2 linked regions of the Rattus norvegicus genome follow. The protein of the gene in region 2 binds, or shares a complex with, the protein of the main gene of each other region. Links are inferred from orthologs where the notes say so. Each region holds a gene or a part of one and is shown on either strand. Other genes may lie near its edges. The genes, in order: Arl6 and Bbs7.

The links.
Region 1: the proteins of Bbs7 (region 2) and Arl6 are in contact, whole or in part, in a cryo-EM structure (PDB 6VBV), measured with the Bos taurus proteins. The link is inferred for Rattus norvegicus from reciprocal best matches to the Homo sapiens genes BBS7 and ARL6. Residues at the interface, in NP_001178275.2 of Bos taurus: Leu3, Ile249, Val250, Gly251, Asp300, Gly301, Tyr302, Asp303, Thr319, Glu320, Pro321, His323, Lys324, Glu325, Ser326, Gly327, Pro328; in NP_001069250.1 of Bos taurus: Met132, Asp133, Arg135, Thr139, Ser140, Val141, Ser144, Trp157, His158, Ile159, Cys160, Ala161, Asp163, Lys166.

The regions. Positions count from the first base shown.
Region 1 is NC_086029.1:54,184,060-54,187,883, reverse strand, and holds part of Arl6 (ADP-ribosylation factor-like protein 6), read right to left. Parts: intron 1,604-3,824; 5' UTR 1,577-1,603; coding exon 1,454-1,576; intron 1-1,453. UniProt on the Homo sapiens protein: Involved in membrane protein trafficking at the base of the ciliary organelle. Mediates recruitment onto plasma membrane of the BBSome complex which would constitute a coat complex required for sorting of specific membrane proteins to the primary cilia.
Region 2 is NC_086020.1:121,388,749-121,392,572, forward strand, and holds part of Bbs7 (Bardet-Biedl syndrome 7 protein), read right to left. Parts: coding exon 3,823-3,824; intron 3,089-3,822; coding exon 2,972-3,088; intron 1,530-2,971; coding exon 1,399-1,529; intron 1-1,398.

The sequences.
Region 1 (3,824 bases), on a different chromosome or scaffold from region 2:
AAAGAATCAACAAAACCAGGAGCTCATCCTTTGAGAAATATCAACAAGATAGATAAACCCTTTGCCAGACTAGCCAGAGGGCACAGAGACAGTATCCAAATTAACAAAATCAGAAATGAAAAGGGAGACATAACAACAGAATCAGAGGAAATTCAAAAATCATGAGATCCTAGCACTACAAAAGCCTATATTCAACAAAACTGAAAAATCTGGAGGAAATGGATAATTTTCTAGATAGATACCAGGTACCAAATATAAATCATGATCAAAGAAACCATCTGTACTGGCTAGTTTTGTGTGTCAACTTGACACAAGCTGGTGTTATCACAGAAAAGGAGCCTCAGTTGTGGGAATGTCTTCACGAGACCCAGCTGTAAGGCATTTTCTCAACTAGTGATCAAGGGGGGAGGGCTCAGACCATTCTGGGTGGTGCCATCCCTGGGCTGGTGGTCTTGGATTCTACAAGAAAGCAAGCTGAGCAAGGCAAGGGAAGGAAGCCAGTGAGTAACATCCCTCCATGGCCTCTGCATCAGCTCCTGCTCCTGACCTGTCCTGTCCTGACTTCCTTTGGTGATGAACAGCAGTGTGGAAGTGTAAGCTGAATAAACCCTTTCCTCCCCCACTTGCTTCTTGGTCATGATGTTTGTTCAGGAATAGAAACCCTGACTAAGACATCATCTAAACAGTCCCATAACCCCTATAGAAACAGAAGTCATTAAAAGTCTCCCAATCAAAAAATGCCCAGGACCACATGGGTTTAGTGCAGAATTCTATCCATGATAAAAGTCTTGGAAAGATCAGAAATTCAAGGCCCATATCTAAACATGGTAAAAGTAAGAGACAGTTGCCTCCAGCTTAAGGTTCAGGAAATAATATCAAGAATAATATTTAATAATGCCTACCTCTGACTTGTGAATCATGTTTCACATGCTAGCTTTATATAGTTTTAATAATAATATTTTCATACATGTTACTCAAAATCACCATCTGTCACTGATACGCACACCATTGTTTAATTATACACAGAACTTAGAAGAAATTTAAACAAAGTGAGTGCAACCTGTAAGTAAACTTAGCCAATTTGTGAAGATCTTTAGGAGAAAATAAAGGAAGAAAAAGAGAACATCCCATCTTAATAATCAAGATATACCTACACAGTCATAAATATGTTGGGGTTGGGGATTTAGCTCAGTGGTAGAGTGCTTGCCTAGCAAGTGCAAGGCCCTGGGTTCGGTCCCCAGCTCCGAAAAAAAGAAAATAAACAAATAAATAAATAAACAAATAAATAAATATGTTGCATATGTAGCAAGCTACAGTTCACTGATATCCCTTTGATATTCCTTACAAGACTAGCAGGACTTCATACAAATATATGAAGTTGTAACTTAAAAGGAATGTTTCATATAACATTTCTCTAGTATCAGGAAATGTCGAGAATAACAGAAATACTTACATTTGAGGGTTTCAGTTTGTTAATGATTGTTGTTTTCCCACTATTATCCAGCCCGAGGCATAAAACATGAACCTCCTTCTTCTTCAGGCCAAGTAAACCTGAAAGTCTGTCCAGCAATCCCATATTGTGGCTTAAATATTTAAACAGCAACTGTAAGGGAAAAGAAACTATTATTTCAAAGGTACCTTACACATGAAATGCATTTGTCTGTACATGAAAAATGAAAAGACAATGGCAGCACACAAACCCATCCGTGTGGCTTTGCTCCCAGTAAACAGTGTAAGCCGATTATCAGAAAGGAGTCTTAACTGAAATGCAGACTGGCAGCTTATAAGCCTTGGCAACAAGGAACAACATCCCTGAAGCAACCACACTTGTAATATTCAGGAAGGAACTCTTGTTAGCCTCAGTATCACGCGGAGTTTGCCAAGTGTAGTGTTATTTATGAACGAGAGTTTGGTAGATACGGAACACTACAAAGGCAACAAGACTCAGCTGCAGCGTGATGCTAAAGCTTCAAAAGCAGAAGAAAGGCAAGCAAACGTTAAAGGGGCAGATGTCCTTTGAACCACTAGACGAATACCTAAAACAGAGGATGGTGATATTTTTTAAATAATTTGTAATTATAAAAGTTTTACTGTTTTTGTTTTCTACAGAGTGGCTTCCAGTTTGGGTCGGGTTTTCTATTGGTAGACAAAGAATGTCCTTATTCACCCACCTCTTATATAGTTCTGCAATTTACCACTAATTCTTTGGGAATAATGGATACATTCCTTCATAATTTCAGTTAATCTTACTAAACTCAATCTTTTCTTAACTATCTACAACATCCGACCATTATGTACAAGAGCTTTAACTATAATACCATTGTAGAACAGAAAAGTAAATGCACATTTAAACACACGTGTGCGTGTACACATACAGATATATAGACAGAGGCATACATATATACACACTTGTTATAAACATACAAATACACACACACACACACACACATATATTTAGAAGAAAAATGTCTTGTCAACTTTCTGTTCCTAGAGCAAATACTAAGATAAACCAGCCCACAATTTTAGAAGCTCTAGTCTAAGACAGAGTTCCTATTGTTGGAGACTAAGCTCTTAAGATAGGCCTTTGAGAAGTGTTTATTATTAATGCCATGTATAGGTTATCTCTCTTTCAGTTGTTGGCTTAGGAGGGGAGGGTCCCAGAGACTATTCCAAACAATGTACAAGGTATTGTCATTTCTCTTAGTTGCCCATGGGAATTATGGGTCATTTCTCTTAGTTGCTCATGATATTAAGACACTATGGCTGAAGACATCACACACTTTGGTCACATAATATGGAGAAATTCAGCTGAGACTGACCCAGAAGCTTCTTTCCTGATAGCTATCTTTCATAGTGCAGGAAAGTGCTATGCAAAAACTGGAGGCAAGTCTACGTCATCTGTGTACTGACACACCTGATAGGCTGTATGATAGGACCTGATGTCCATGGGTACAAACATGGCATGAGGGTTATGGGGGTAAACCAATGGCTTTCTGGTTGGATTTAAGGCCTGCTTTTCAGGCAGAAAAACATAGCAAACCTGACCACGAACCCATAAATGAGGAGGGCATAGGGAAAACCTACTACTATCAGTGTGCTACATCAATACTGCTGTCTATACTTTTATTATTATATCCACAGATTAATGCAGCTTTCAACCCTTATCAGAGAAGCTTCTTTTTGCAGTGGATAGCTTTGATATAAAAATTCCCAACCAGTCCATGTCCATAAAAAAGTAACTGCAAAAGCTCAGCTCTGAATCAAACACCTTTCTATACCACATCCCTCCTCCCAAGGCTTAGGAAACATTCTGGAAGAGGAGGCAGAAAGACTGTACAAGCCAGAGGTTGGGGAGGGAGGTACAGTCAAGCAGAGACTTCTGGACATGACAGGGTCAATGTATTCATGAACTCTTCACCACCTTGGTTGTCCACACAAGAACTGCCCAAGCCAGCCAACATTCCAGCATGGGTTAGGGAAGAGCTCACAAGGCCACAATGCTATCTGAGAAGCTAGGAGTGAATAGCTACCAAGCGAATCAATTTCCTTCAGGGACACAGTCATTGGCTGGGTGCCCACGTAGATGGCTCCGTACCCATGAGCATCAGGGCAGCACTAATTGGAGCCTCTGGGTTATTTTAAAAGAAAAGCAAGAAGAGGACATAAAGTTGGGAGGGATTACAGGAGTGGGGGTAGGGGGTCCAGGAAGAATTGCAATTGGGGAATAGGAAGTAGGTAAGATCAAAATGTATTGCACACAAGTATAAAGTAAAGAACAAAGTAATATATTAAAACCATCCAAGCTATTCAACTTTCTAGAGCAA
Region 2 (3,824 bases):
TATAGTTTACATGTCTGAAGTTCTGATATTCGGTTTAGTTTTACTTATTTTTGGAGTTCTGATAGTGAATCCTGACACAACTAGAAAGAGTGCGTGCCACTGTATAGAGCGACTGCAGGTGGCAATTACCAATCGTATGCTGCAAAGGCTGCAGGAAACCATTTTCAGCATTTCCACCCAAGACTGTTCAACATTATGCTCAGGGACCAGCAGGATGACTCAGTGGGTAAAGATGCCTACCGCTGAAACTGAAGCCTGAGTGTGATTCCAGGGATCCGGATGGTGGAAAGAGAGAACCCATAACTGAACGTTATCCTCTGCCTCCCATGTGTGCAGTGTGTGCGCTTACACACAACATGCACACAAATATGCCCCATAAACATTAATATATAAATAAGTGTAATTTAAAATACTTTAAGGGAAAATATTGATATCATATGATACCACCATTCATATAGTTTTTGTTTTTAATGTGTCAGAAAATAAAATTAATAAGAAATAGATAAAAATTCTATGTATGGAGAATGTCTGTCTATATTGACTCTATGCCTTAATTACATTTAAATCTTCTGAACTAGAATGACTTCACCTTGTCTTTCTTCTCTAAGAAAACAGGTCCTTAAGTGTCTAGATGCCAGTCTGTTATCAGGACGCACCTGCTGTCAGGTAGTTTCGATGGAATCCTAACAGTATGGCTTAAATGTCTACACCCTTATTACCGTAAAACATGTATGAAAACCATCGATGAAAAGCAAACATGTTTTCCCTATACTGTGTTGTTATAATTTAGAGATGCTAGAATAAAATATTTAATACCTAGTATGTTTTAAATTATATTTAAGAGAGAGAATGAAAAAGGAATTTATTCTTCAGCTTAAGGGCAATACTCCACCACTGAACAGGAGAACAGACCAGAGATTTTGGTAATGGCAACATTTTTACAAGTATTTATTTATTTGTCCTGGTGGTCAGACCTGGAGCCTTGGACACTTTAGGAAAGGGTTTATCAGTGAACAGTGTCCTGGCCCTTCTTCATTTCTGCTCTGGGGCAGAGTCTCAGTAAAGTTGATTACTCTTCCAGGCAGGCCTTGAATTCCTGATCCTTTTCCCTCAGGATCTGGTTGGGATTTAGAAGCCTCACCAGATTGGGATAGAAAAACAACATTGTGTTTTGTTTGTTTGTTTGTTTTTTTAATTGTACTATATTTTTAATTTAGAAAAATTCAAACTATCAACCATATCTACAGTAACTAACCAACAGTAAGTAAATAGTCTTTGTTTGTTTTGCTTCTGGTTTATAGTCTTAGGGGCTGAACCAGGACTTTATACACACCAGGCAAGTCCTCCACACCAAGCTACCACTCCAGGCCCCACACAAATCTTTCTAAATTAACTTACCTGATCAAATCGTAGCACGGGTTCATTTGCATTCTCAAAACTATACACTTCCACCATTCCATCATCTCTCCCAACAAGTAAATCTTTAACCCCATCACCCATGATATCAAAGCTGTCAAGACACAAGATACCTGTAGAAAGCGGGGGCGGGGTGAGTAATGAGAGCAGTGAGACAGGAAACTGATAGATGCAGGAGAGGGTAGACATATACTCACATAGTACCACACAGTCATCAAAACTTATTGTAAAAAGAACACCTTTGCATATAATTGGGTGTTTTTCTCTTTGCAAAGCTTCAAACAATTTACACAGCAGTGCACCCACACAGCAGTGCACCCGCACAGCAGTGCACCCGCACACGTTTACATCTCCCTTAGCTCTGACCCTCAGGAAGCCCCAGGCTCTTATGTGGCACCTTCCCGTGCACACGGGCACCTCACGCTCTTCCTCCCCCAGCACAGTTCTTTACTACTCTACTGCACTGTTTCAGCACTGCTCACTCTCTGGTTGTCCCCCATTTCCAGTAAATTACGCTACTCAGCACACAGACGAAACACTTCCAGCTCTATCCCTGACATCTTCTTTCCCCTCTCTTCTTTCTCCTTCCATAGTAAGGGTGAATCAGGATGCTGTAAACTAGAGTTACCAGGATGCTGGTAACTGTAACAACCTCCGAGTGCTCTCTGTTTCCAATGTGGATGTTTCTTCCCAAACCCATCCTCTATGCAAATCTATTTTGTTCTTTTTAGTGAAACTGACCACGTCACACCTTCCACATAAACTTCTCCCGGGACTGCCCACTGCACTCTAATTGGAGCCCCCGCCTCCAATGCTTCAAGGACCCACAGTCTGTCCCTGCTCCTGCGATTCTCCTCAGGCCGCACTGCTGCTCAGCCACACTGGTCTTTCGAGTGTCCTCCGATGACTCTAGCCCACCTCCGTCTCAAGAGCTTCGTGATTAGTTTTTCCTCCTCTTAGAATATTCTTTCCCCAAAACTTCTCAGCTCAAATTGCCTTTCCTACAGCACCTTCTTCCTCTGAGTCTAAGAGGAGCTGTGCCCACCATCCCTCCCTCACCATTCACTGTTACTGTGTTCTCTTCAGGTGACGGGGCAGTGAGCACGCACAGTCACCACCCATTCTCTCGCACAGGAAGTATTTGCTAAGGATAAATGAACAGATGAACAAACTCCCTGTACATATACAGAGCCGTTTCACTGGCTGCCAAGTTGGGCGTAAATCTTTGGAAATCTGTAAGGTCTTTAAAAACTTGGAATAGTTTCTAACCCACTACATTTCTTATGTCCTAGATTCCAATTAATTCTCTATCCCAGTTACAGTGGGGTTTAGTGTGGACTAAACGCTATTAACCTGTATGTCTATCCTAAACTAGAAGTAGCATTTCTTATTTTAAAAATCACATCTATAGTATAAGAGTTGCCATAACCAAATAGTAGGTAAGTCAGAGGTAAGCCTGCTGTCTGATATAACTAAATCAAACAGAATACACTGCACACGCTATTGCATTAGATGACTCTTGCCATTTCATAACCTGAACCGTGTGGAAGCCTACCTCCCCGCTTTTTGTCATTTCGAATTTCCCATTTGTGTATTGGTTTGGATGCTGTGATCTGAATAAGCCCAAGCCTTCCATCTGATGTGCCGAACAGAAGACCTTCCCCAGAGTCACCTAGATAAAATTAAAATGAACAAAAACATGCAAATACCTTTTAAAAACATTTTTTTTTCTGGAGCTGAGAACCGAACCCAGGGCCTTGCGCTTGCTAAGGCAAGAGCTCTACCACTGAGCTAAATCCCCAACCCCCTAAAAACATTTTAATGTAAAAATCTCATTTTTCAAATGCTACAATAAGGGAAATTTTTAAAGGGAAAATATTAGGTATATATGTATCAAAACATCATGATACCATTCATATGTAGTTTGTTTTTATGCATCAGAAAAATAAACTTATAAAAATAGAAAAAGATTCCATATATGCCAGAATGTTGACTTTATACCATTTAGTTACATTTACTTTTTCTGAACTAAAATGACTATCTAGCATTTCTTCCTTGTAAGAAAGCTGGTCCATAAGCATCTAAACTCGAGACTATTACTACTCCTCTGCTCTGAGGTCATTCCTATGGAATCCTAACAATGGCCTCCAGCTCTATGCTCTTAGTACAACAATGTCATCAAAGAGAACCAAACATGTTCCCCTGCACTGTGCAGTTATGGTTATAGGAATTAGAATGTCACATGGTGAAGCACATTCCCACAACTGATTTCAAGATGAGGAAGCCCAGTGATTTGTGAATCATAACTGAGCAGGAAGTGAGTGGACACTGCTACTGCACGGTAACAACTCCGTCTTGACTTCCCCTTTGCACGCATGGCTGGCTGTGACCATCGGGTGTGACTACCT